3 linked regions of the Rattus norvegicus genome follow. The protein of the gene in region 2 interacts with the protein of the main gene of each other region in a pairwise test. Links are inferred from orthologs where the notes say so. Each region holds a gene or a part of one and is shown on either strand. Other genes may lie near its edges.

What was found.
Region 1: the proteins of Nfyc (region 2) and Srebf2 interact in binary tests that used the Homo sapiens proteins (3 or more experiments, as listed by UniProt). The link is inferred for Rattus norvegicus from reciprocal best matches to the Homo sapiens genes NFYC and SREBF2.
Region 3: the proteins of Nfyc (region 2) and Dr1 interact in binary tests that used the Homo sapiens proteins (3 or more experiments, as listed by UniProt). The link is inferred for Rattus norvegicus from reciprocal best matches to the Homo sapiens genes NFYC and DR1.

The regions. Positions count from the first base shown.
Region 1 is NC_086025.1:115,574,280-115,577,925, reverse strand, and holds part of Srebf2 (sterol regulatory element-binding protein 2), read right to left. Parts: intron 3,519-3,646; coding exon 3,326-3,518; intron 2,824-3,325; coding exon 2,642-2,823; intron 87-2,641; coding exon 1-86.
Region 2 is NC_086023.1:139,677,047-139,681,172, forward strand, and holds the start of Nfyc (nuclear transcription factor Y subunit gamma), read right to left. Parts: upstream 2,839-4,126; 5' UTR 2,651-2,838; exon of another isoform or gene 2,202-2,650; intron 1-2,201. UniProt on the Homo sapiens protein: Component of the sequence-specific heterotrimeric transcription factor (NF-Y) which specifically recognizes a 5'-CCAAT-3' box motif found in the promoters of its target genes.
Region 3 is NC_086032.1:1,611,681-1,615,995, forward strand, and holds the start of Dr1 (protein Dr1), read right to left. Parts: upstream 2,877-4,315; 5' UTR 2,256-2,876; coding exon 2,036-2,255; intron 1-2,035. UniProt on the Homo sapiens protein: The association of the DR1/DRAP1 heterodimer with TBP results in a functional repression of both activated and basal transcription of class II genes.

The sequences.
Region 1 (3,646 bases), on a different chromosome or scaffold from region 2:
GCCAAGTCCAGGCGGGAGGTGGGCAGCGCCCGGCCCAAAACGGATAAGCAGGTCTGTAGGTTGGCAGCAGCAGCTGCAAAGTCACCCTACGAAGCAGCAAGTGGGAGTAGTGGTCACTGGCCTTACCGCTGCCTTCTGGTTCTAACACACTTCTACTTGACCATCTCCTTATCAGAATAAAGCACGCTTGTTAGCAAAGTAAAACACAATTTCCATTAAAGAAAATTTGAGACATGCTGGAACGATACAAAAACATAAAAAGCAGCCACCTCACCCTACACAATCACTGTGGACATTCTGAAGACTCCCTGGCCTTTCTACTAAATTAACCTGCACTGTGTTCTGTCTTTGAGCAAGTGCGGGAGTCTCCAAAGCAGCTTGTTTGGTTGTCTTTCGAGACAGGGTTTCTCTGGGCAGCCCAGCTGGCTTCGAATTCAGAGTGCTCCTGAGTACTGGGATTAAAGGTGAGTGCTGCCATCGCCCGGGTGTCACAGCAGCTTTTATAAATAAGCACTAGTCTTTAGGTAACGTGTGTGCTTAGGATGGGGGAAGTCCGTGGTGCCCGACCTCAGGCCTGCTTAGTCACAGCTCTGGGATTGTAGCCTGTGATTCAGTGGCCTATAGAGGCCCAAGAATCACAGCTTTAAGGCAAACTCACAGCTATATTACTAAACTCCCCCCATTCAGGATCTCTGCTGAGCGGAGGGTCTAATTTAAGGAGCGGATGGTGCCCAGCTGACCGTGGTTATCAATGGCGACCAAAGATGGCAGATGTGTTTTGCAGGCTGTCTCTGGCTTTTGCTTCTTTGCCTCAACCAGTCCAACTCTTCTCCCAGTAAGACTGTAGCTTCCCTTAGCACTGACTCTAAGCAGCCCTCCCAGCAGTTGCCTCCTGGCCACTGTTCCAAAGGCGTCAGAGCGTTTCCAGGCCTAGACGCAACGGCCTAGAAAGAGCCCTACAGCTCTTCCAGCCTTTCCCACCTTTGAGTTAACATCATTGTTAATTAAGTTGTGTCTCAAAATATTTATTCGATTCTACCTTTTTGTTAAATTCCAGGTCTCCCTCTCTCTTATCCCACCCATTCTAAGAACCTCCTAACTTGTTTCTGTATCTTTCAGTGTCTCCTTTCCCTAACCTATTCACATGGCCACCAGAATGACAGTTTTCAAATGCCCTTAAATCTGTCTCTAGGACTAGGACAATACTGTGACCTACTATATGGCATCACACCTGTGCTTTAGGACCCTGGGGCTATGGGCACTGACTGGGGTGTGTGTGGGGTAACTCAGGTGTGTCAGCCTGCAGAAGGACTAAGCTCTGGGTTTGCTATGGCTCAGGGATGGTCTGAGTCACACTGACTCCAATAGTGCATAATGGTTAACCCCTTCAATGTTACCCCATAATCTCTCCTTACAGTGATCCCAAATAAAAATGTTCAGCTAATTTTCCTGCTCAAATGTCTTCCCTGATTCACCAGAGAACTAGAAATAACTTAATTCAGAGGGCTGAAGAGATAGCTCAGAGGGTAAGAGCACTTGATGCTCTTCCAGAGGAATCAAAGTTCGGTTCCCAGCATCCATGCCAAGAGGCTCAGAACCACCTGGAACTCCAACTCTAGGCAATCTGATGTCCTCTTCTGGCCACCAAGGGCACTTGCACTCATGTGCATATACCTTCACACAGACATGAGCATACACAAATAAAAATAAGCCTTTACAAAAAACCCTAGGGGTTGGGGATTTAGCTCAGTGGTAGAGTTAGAGTGCTTGCCTAGCAAGTGCAAGGCCCTGGGTTCGGTCCCCAGCTCCAAAAAAAAAAAAAAAAAAAAAAAAAAAAAAAAGAACCAAAAAAAACCCCCAAAAAACAAAAAACAAAAAAAAACAAAACCAAACCCCTAACTCAGCTGTAAGTTAAAATTCTCTGCACACGGCGACTAGGTACACCACCAGCCGTCACTGCCATCTTCCTTTGACATAGACACACATATCCTCAGTGTGTCTACTTGTCTGCAGTCTGAATGTGAATGCCCCCACAGGCTCATGTAGTACTGTCTCGGCTGGCTGTGGAAGCTTAGGGCCTAAGGCCTGGCTGACATAAACGGACGGATAGGAGCAGCTCTGGCAAGTGATCTCTACTTGTGCTTCCTGATCTGCATGAGATCTACATGAGATTCCACGCCACCAGCTCCTACCGAATGGCCAACAGCCTTCCCTAAGAGGAACTGAAACTAAGAGCTCAAATAATATCTCTTAAGTTGCTTCTGCTGTGTATTTGGTCACAGTGAGGAGACAAGTGGCTAATACAGTCCTCATGACACCATCTGCTTGAAAGGCCCTGACCTGCCTGCCTGCCCGCCCGCCCGCCTGCCCATCCTTCTTGACCAGAACAGCACCACCTACAGCCCCAGACTCATAGCACTTATATGACCCACTGCAGAGGTCATTTTGTGTCCACAGCATGATCTGGGCACAGGGATGCCCTCCCTCATCGCCCTGGGGCTGTTGTAGGTACAGGGCCTCCTCCTCACCTCAGTCACCCAGCACAGGCCACAGGACTGATTCACACTGGGGACTCAACAACATTCCCTGAGCACAGAGGATGAAAGTGAATGATAGAAGAAAGGCGGGTGACAGAACTCACTTTGGCGAGGTCTAGGTCTGCCTGCTTCCGGTGTCTCCAGAAGGTGACCGAGGAGCGTGAGTGTGGGCGGATCACTGGCTCCCCATGGACCAACAGCTTCACGAAGACGCTCAAGACAATCACACCGTTTAGCAGCCACAGCAGTAGAGTCGGCATCATCCAGTCAAACCAGCCTCCAGAACCTAAAGAGGGGCGTCTCAGCTGAGACTACCAGGAAGAGCCTTGTGGGACAGCAAGGCACCTAACAGACTCCAGAGTGTGACATCAAAGAGCCTTCTGTGTCATTTTCAGAGGAAATGGTAGACACTTCTGTAGCCTACACCCTTTTATACCCTGGTACCATGGAGCCGAGTGGGACACATACCCCAGTTAAGAGGAAATTAGGACACTGATCTCCTACCTGACGTGATGCTATACATCCCCTCCAACAAGTGCCTCCCCATCTCTCCCACCCACTTCTGCCCACAGTAACTGTAACAAAGCAAGTTCCAGGTTGGTTTGCTTGTCCCAACAAACTTCAGTTGTCTTCTCACATATAACGTAGACTGGCCCCCATCAGCAGCAAGCCGGTGGGAAGCCCATTCTTACTTCTGGACTAGGCAGGGATATCATGTAGTTTTTACACAGGGTCCTTTGTCACAGCAGTCCCCCTGACCCAAGCCAGCATTAGGGGGACCCACCTACCTGACTCCAGTGACAGTACATTGCGGCCAGAGCCTGAGTACGGGTGTTGGTCAGGGTTGTGGGCCCCTCCCCACTGCAGCAATGAAGTCAAGGGGTTAAAGGAGAGACCCAGGAAGGTGAGGACACATAAGAGAATTCGAGATCGGTCCACCATGCCCAGTGCCACAGGGGGAGAGTCCGGTTCATCCTTGACCTTCAGAACAGTAGCTCAGAGTTAGAACAGTTACCATTTTTAATTATTTACTATCTTCTTTTTTAATTTTATGTGCACTGGTGTTTTGTCTGTGTAAGGATATCGGGTCTCCTGGAACTTGAACTGCA
Region 2 (4,126 bases):
GCCTCAAAATACTGTCTGTCACCAGAAGGTCTAGGTGTTAGGCTCTATCCAAGCCTCCCTGCCCCCTCACCTCTCTCTCCTAACACTTCCAGTTTGAGTTATGGTTAATTCCATAAGGCTTTTTGCTCTTTACCATATAAAGTTTACCTCTTTTGTCTAAAAATATTTTCAAGTCTAATGTATTAAATGAAGAGGAGATTGTACGTCTTTCAACAAAGTATCAAATGAGGAGGTCCACAAATGCCATTCAACATTGAGCATGCAGGAATGTTATGTTAGCTGTTTCAGGCTTTTGCAGGGGTGTGCCTGAAAAAAGATGGTAAACTTGGCTACATACTCTAAGCAACCAGCTCCACAAAGTTCTAGAGTATATGGAGCTTTACCTCAGCCTCCCTTTTTCTCCAACTTCATTTTTATCCCTCTGTTACAGGCCTCTCTCAGAGCAAAAAAGGTCACTGATACCTGTATCTTTTTTTTTTTTAAATCATACTTACAGCTTAAAACACTTATACCAACAGCCTATACAAAATAAGTAAGCATCACTTAAAATATAATATTTAACACAAACTCCTCTTGGTAGAACTTAAAATTCCCCCAAATTAATATTTTCTTACCATCAACCTTCCAATCCTCCAAGAGGAGCTTCACAAATACAACTATTTGAACTCCTGAAATACCATTTTCTCCACTAAGAACCCTTTAGATTACAAGGGTGACAGGATGGCATGCAAGGAACTCTGAATCTGTTAGATAATTCACTCAATTATCATATCAGAAAGAGTTAGAAAAATTTTCCTGAGGCTGGGGTTAGGAAAAAAAAGACAGGGGAAGAAGAGAATGAATGCAGACCTATTACTCCTTTAAAAACTCCTGATCTGAACTATAACAGATTCCTAGTAACCACTGGACTAGAACACCCAGAACTACAGTCTTTCATCTTAAGAGAGCTTTTCAGTTCCAATCTGCATAAACAAACTTTGTCCTTCAATCTTTCAACTCCTCAAGGTCACTTTTCAGAGCAGCGGCAGAGGGAGGCCTGCATCCAGGAACTTGGGCTGTTTGTTATCCCACTCACTCCAGCTGCACATATCTAAACTTAAACCCCAATGGATCCTCTCAGGTAAACCTTCCCTCAAGAGGAAGCAATCGAAGGCAGACCAACACCTTCCAAGTTCTCCTCAGCCAGGCCTGCTCCTTTCCCTGTCCAGGGACTGCTACTGCCTCACTGCTCTACACTGATCTGCAGCAGGAATGTTCGAATGACCTTCATCCAGTATTTCCAAATAAAGAGAAAAACAAAGAATTGCTTTTTAAAAAATCAGGGATATTACAGATCTTAGTACATAGGACTGATGATTTGACTACTCATAAGAACTGACTTGTTACTGATTAGCAATCTACGTAAGCTTCTTATCATTAAAGGGGGTAAATATCAAGGGCAAAAGGCTACCTATACACTTAACTTTTCTAGTCACAAACTGCAGGTAAGCCCCTTATATACTTCATACAGGAAACAAAGGCATTTGCTTAAATCATTTTAAAGAACCAAATCAACAGCTGACAAAAACATGATAAGCTTCTCACTTCCAATATTAACTGGACTCTAAACTGATCAGCATATTAAACCAAAATGAACAATTTACAATTTAGACTTATTCAATTGATTCTTATTAAAATGCAGAGGCAGATAAGTAGATCAAGAAAGTTACAAGAGAATTTTCAGGCTGGCATGTGGGCCTTCCCCCATTAGAACCTGCATCAGTTGTTAATCATATTTTCAAGCAAGTGAAAGAACGATAATGTGCTTCTATCTTTGAAACATTAATGTCAACAAAGTGCATGAAAATAAAAAAAAAAAACTCTTAAAACTCATCTTATTCCGTAGAAAAGCTTCAGTGCACTTGAACAAAGGAAAATTATTTGGAAAACAGTTAAGTTTACCCAATGCAAAGACAAAGTGCTTTGCTTTTGTATGCCCAGGAAAAATAATTAGCCCTTTTTGCATCTGTCTTGTTGATATTAAACTAGGAAAAGCTTAGTTGAAGGACATGCAAAATCTAACAGAGCAAGGTAATCTAGGTGCACAAGAAGGTATGCACGGAATGTAAAGTGGCCATTTTCTGAAACAGTGCAACTTGTCTGCACTCTCTGAAGCTAAATAGTCTTTATCATCTCAACACAAAACAAAGAATTAAACTTACCGAGAACTGCATTAATTTTACATGGAGTTATTTATATCTCCTCGGACAGGGAGAATTTAAGTCACTCCTATCCCCCCCCCCCAAAAAAAAAAAAAAAAGACCGGAGGACAAAAGGCAGCAGAAGATGTAGAAACCTGAGTCTGGAATGTTCATTCCAGTGAAAACCCGAACAGCTGTCCTCCCACCCCACAGCAAACTATTCGCCATTTTTCTTTGTCTTTCAGCTGACCCCTGCCTCAGTGAAAAACTCTGAGGCTCCAATGAAGCCCTGCAGCCTCCTTCCACTTTAACAGTCAAAGGCATTCAATCTAGCCTGCTATTTGACACCAAACCTTGCCTCCAAAGCAGTCCCATTGGCTAAGCTGCTTTATCAGCTAAGAATACAAAGCCATGATTGGCTGTTCACGTCATCAGTTACCTCCTTTGTACACTTCCTGTTTTAAAGTTACCTTGAGAAGCAGAACAGGGGTCAGATTCTTCACTCAAACACAAGAACTTAAGGATCGGAAATATTTAGCAAATGCACGAGCAGACACATATGGTCTCATGCGCTTCTAAAACAGGGGAGGGCAAATTTAGAATTGTTCTTAAAAACAAAAAACAAAAAAAAAAAAAGAAAGAAAGAAAGGGTCGCTACATTTCCGACCTAAAGGATTTTCTATTGGCTATGGAGTTCCATTTAAAAAACTGAAGGTAATTTCACTGCTTCTGATTGGCCGTGAACAGTGTCTGTAAGATACTGCTACAGTAACCTATGGCACTAAACCAGAAAAGCAATGTGCACAAGCTCGGAAAGTTGTAACCATCCACTTCCATGTTTTTGTTGATCATTATTAACAGATTAAAACCAATATCAAAACCATATTGTTGAGTTAACAAAAACAAAAAACTCAGCCTTCTTTTAATATCAAAGTGAAGCTTTGCCCATACAACAGTCTTCATGATCTCTAAAGGTACCTTTTGTATTCGTAGTAATTTTAAAAGCACAGATTAACACTAACAAATCAAAATAGAATGATTTAGGGTAAATGTATGAAGTTGGTGGCAGAGACCTCAGCATTTCAAAAGAACCCTATCACAAAGCTCTACTCCAATTTACTGAAAATGTAATAGGGGAAAAATGCCTTCTATGACATCAAAACTCTGAACCAGGTGTAGGAGCACATACCTGTAATACCATGTAACCAGCAGGAAGGATGGTGCAAAAGAATTCAGAATTCCAATGTGATCTACACAGAAAGACACCTGGTTTTTTTACTTTGTTAAATATGGAGCAGGACTAATCTTCAGCAAGGTTAATAGTTTTACTTGGCTCACTATTGTTTCTGGAAACATTCTAGTGTTCTGAAGGGCACCAGGGATAACCGCAGTGTTGTCTATATATTCGGGGCTCTAGTACTTAGCTTTTAATTATATAACAAGGACTACGTGCGGTTGAGCCATAGTTTGTTCATCTGTAATACAGGCTGTTTACACTGTAGGGATTAAATAAATATAAATAGTACATTATGCTGTGCTTGAATAAGAATTTAAAAAAATATAAAATGCTGAATGCCATCCAATTCTACCTTCTGCTTTTTACAGAGAAGACATCATGCAGAACCAAACAAGACTGGTATTAAAGCCCAAAAAGTACTTTGCAGCAATTCCTCTTCCATGTCCTGTAGTCCTGCAGCAGGCAATTCCTCAGCTGTAAAGAGCTGTGTAAGAGGACGCCCAGCTGGAACTAAAAATCTCTGGTTTTTAGGCCGGAAATCCAGGGCTTTCACCACCAGTCACAACCGAGATCTGCTTATTGTTCCAAAAGTCTGCCCTTCAACTCTGCTTTTGATGTACCAGATTAAACCAATCAAGTCCCTTGCTACTCTGTGAAGGTCTTGGGCATAGCTTTTATTAGTCCTTGGCAGTGTACAGGAAAAACATTT
Region 3 (4,315 bases), on a different chromosome or scaffold from region 2:
CACTTCAATCATCATGTCGATCGGAACTCTAAATATACCCTAGAAAAGAATGAGCCTCCCACAAGACAGATTGTGTTATTAGATTTTTGGAACAATCACCACTTCTGTGGTACAAACAAGTGTTTAGGCAGGTCCTACAGAAATCTGCAGTTTCATTAAAAAGTTGATGCTTGACAAAAGGTGGTTCTTCCATTCCTTCACAAAAAGTCAAAGGAAATGTTAGCTACTTGTTAAATATCTTCTAAGAGACTTAAAAACTAAAAAAAAAACTAAAAAAAAAAAAAAAAAGACCAAAAAACCCCAAAACACTTGGTTTCCATTTTTCTTACCACTCAGCAAACCAAACAAGTAGGAAAAAAAAATACTAGTTTTAAGAATCAAGTATGTCAGCTGGAAAGATAGCTCTGCAGGACATTGCTTGCCCAGCACACACAAGGCCCCAAGTTCATTCAGCATGTACACACCAAAGAATCAAATAAGCAGCAGGAATGGTAGTTACATGTCCATGATCCCAGGACCAAGAGACTGCACGAAGAGGCTCTAAGTTTAAGGCCAGGCTAGGTAACAAGAGTGTGAACCTGTTAGCATCTTGCCTTTCCTAACCTAAAGTAAAAACATTGCTTTTTTCTTAGTTATCTGCTATGTGCTGAAATGGCAGAGTATATGTGCATGTGATATGATTATACACACACACACATCTATCAATCATCACGACTCTTACTACCTACTGGGATTGACCTCTGCCATGCTAAGTACTCAGCCTTGAGACCCCCCTCATCACAGCAAGGTGTGCTTTAAATCTACCATCAGCACAGGATAAAGGCTCAAAAATTAAACACGTGACCTTCTTGTCAATACTGACTGCAAAATGGTTATGTTCCATATGATCAGATATGTTCTCTATCAACAGGAAAGTAAAATTTTTAAATGTATAAAATGGCAACGAACTACCTGCCTAATATGATTAAATTTGTTCCTTTTAACCTTAAAAGTAATCAAGAAGTTGTCCTCATTTTCAATAGATTTATAATAGAAGTGATTTACCAAACTGAATGCAACTTTCTCATAAGAGTTCATGAAAAGCCACAGAAAGTATTTCCCAAAATTTGCCAAAAGCAACTTTCGTCTCCTTTCCCTGTAATCATCAAAACAAAATCCCAACTCCAAATCCTTTCCAGCGTAAGAAAGAAACTGTGGGAACCTTTAGAAGCGTTTTTCCATAAAAGCTTAAACGCATAGACACATCCAAATTGGAGCAGCAGGACAGAGGACAGGCTGGGCAGCTCAGCAACAGAATGCTGACTAGCATGTGTCAGGCCCTAGGTTCAAGCCCGAGTACTGTCGTCCCCGCCCTGCCCCAGCCACCCTTTACAAATAATTTTCAAAGAACAATCAATAGTTGGAGGAAGTCAAAAAGGAAAAAATGTGGCACTCGGTTACCTGGTGATAACTGTTCCACCACCTCAGCGTTTTGTAAAGCAAAAATTATACTTTTTGGAAAGAAATTAACTTTACAACAATGAACATACTCATGTTGATAACTTTTTTTTTTAAACTCGGACCTAGGGCCCTTGTGCATGCTAGGTAGATGATATACCACTGACCTCCGTTCACAGCCAAAGAACTTTTTCTACCCCTGTGTTCAAAATGAATCTTTTCCTCAGCACAGGTGGGGAAGAGATATACTCTCTGACTCGACTCGTGCTTGAAATTCTAAAATTTAACTTCCCAAGAGAGAACTTTGAGGTTCCTTTCTCAGTTGTTACTATCCAAGTTTAGCTGTAGGCAGTCAATTCTTGTTGCTTAAAGACCTGATCGGAAACTGTACTGGTTAAATGTTGTGGATGTTTGCTGACCCTAATGTTTGTACTTCTTACTTGCATTAGCTGGATGAAGAAAATGTCCGAAGAATGCTACATAGGTATTTTAAGGTAACTGCACTTACTAGTGAAGTGGAATGAAGGCTCCGTGACACTAGGAGTGACTCTATTAGCCTGGACCTTCATTTAAATTAAATCCCACACAAATTGCTTACCTTGGATGACATGCTCTGGTGAGATTGTCTTCTTTTCTGACTTGTTACAAATCTCGTTGGCTTCGGAAGATATAAGGTGAATGAATTCAGTGCAGCAGTTCACTACGAGCTCTCGGGCATCGTTGGCCACCCTGACATTAGGGAGAGTCTCTTTGATCATCTTATTTATAGCAGCTCTCGGGATAGTGAGATCATCGTCGTTGCCAGACGAGGAAGCCATCGTGCCTTCCTGTCTTTCAAGCCCTAACTTTTAAAGTCCTCCCTCTAGTCCACCACTCCACGAAGATTTCTCAACAGGCTGTCCCTGGAGAGAGATGTCGGGGTCCGGGAGGCTCAGAGTGCAGCAGAAACCAGGAAGGAGCGGGCTCGAGGGCAGGGAACACCCACTGTGTGAGAGATTTTAGTGCGGATATGAAGGAGAGGTCAGGGGGCTGAGGGCTCGCTCTGGGGACACCACTCCCAGGGCTCAAGAACCACCTTGCGTGTCGCCTCAAACGGACTGGCGCTGTCGCCTAACCGAACCTAAACGGCTCGGGGGCGCACGCAAGACCGAGGAGTACCCGCCCGGCCGCAGTACCGGGCGGACGCACCACAGCAGGGTCGGCTCTACAGAGCCGGAGCCCCCGCGGCCACCGCCACTAGCAGCGGTTGCAGCCGCCTCGGCCAAACCATCCTTCAGGCACCCGCGCCGCCGCCTCACAACATGTCTGCCGAAGCCGCAGCTGAACGCACGCTGGCTGCCTGGGAACCAAGTGGACAGGGCCGAAAACAGCGGGAGCCGCAGCGGCAGTCGCCGCGACCGAGCGTTTGGCCGAGAGCAGGCTGTGGGAGCAGAAGCGGCGCTAACGGTGGTCTTTCTACGGGCCGGGGAAGGAGGTTTGCCGCAAGCTGATCCCGACACGCTTTGCGCCACCGGAAGTCTCACTCCCGGGGTCCCACCCGCCCTCCTCGACGGATTTCCGAGTGCTCGCCCCGCCCTTCACCCCGCCCGGGCGGGCGGGAACCGCCGGTGCTGGCAGCCCGCAGCTTCCGCCCGTCGCTGCCCGCGCTCTGCGTCCCCGCGTTTCCTCAATCAGGCCCTAGGGGAGCTCGCCTGCTCTGTGGAGGGATGTGTGGGCCGAAGGGCCATCGGAGGGCCACGTGGCGGAGCAGCCCTGGTCTTTACCGAAGAACTTCCTTTTCCTACGTCCTTAGCTGTCGGAATTAGGGCACTGAGTGAGAGGAGCATATCCCGGCGTGTGGGGAAAAAGGCCTTTGTAACTGCTTAACAGCGTTCAGATCGGAACTCCCTGTGCTCATTTATGACAAAAAAAAAAAAAAAAAAAACAAACGAAGCTTTCAAATAAGTGGCTACCCTCCGTAGCACAAACGGCTAAATCAGAAATTAGTAGTCTGATCCAAAGCTGTGAGTTTGGCCTACCATGAGCTATGGCCCTCTGCACACTTGCTTTTGGAGAGAAGACCAAAAAAAAAAAAAAAAAAATTGGTTTATCTCAAGCGAGTCTGATACTTGCTTCTTTCCGGGTGATTATTAATAACTAGTGCCACATTCATCAGGGAAATTATATTATTAAAAAAAAAAAGCTCAGCCAGGAGATGGCTTTAATCCCAGCACTTTAGATGAGACGCTCAGGCAAGCAAGTCAAGTTCCAGGACAGCCAGGGCAACACTGAAGAAACCTGTCTCCAAACACAAACACAGGCAAAACCAAAAAACTTCACATACGGTCCCATTAATAAATAGTGGGACGTTGTAACTTTTGAAAGGGCTAAGGCACTTAAGCCAACGTGTACAGTTTAGTTTATCGTAATTTTTTGTAGACAGATTGGCAGCTGGGCTGTTGGCAATAATTTAAGATGTTTGGTTTCCAGGAGACTATCATTGTCCCCTCCTACCTGCCTCACTAGACATAGCTTCAGCACTGACCTAGAACACCAGCCTTTGAGTAATTTTTATCTTCAACATTTTCTTCAAGATGCTTCCTGGGAACCATACATTCTTCACTATCAGTGCTACTAAGTTTAATCTTTGATTATAAGGAGTAAATTTCTTCTTCGAAATAAGTAAATTTTGGTTGAGATGTGTTAAGACTTAGGTAAAATATTAAGGTCTAGATGTAAAGTTAAGGCCTAGGTGACTGTTACCTGGGTGGCTTGGCATTTTGTGCTGTTATTATATGGAAACTTTCACATATGAGAATCTTATCTACAGAGTGCTTGTGAGTACTCCTGAGACACTGTCTAAATTGTTTATATCTGCAACCCCGATCCTCGTTGTTGT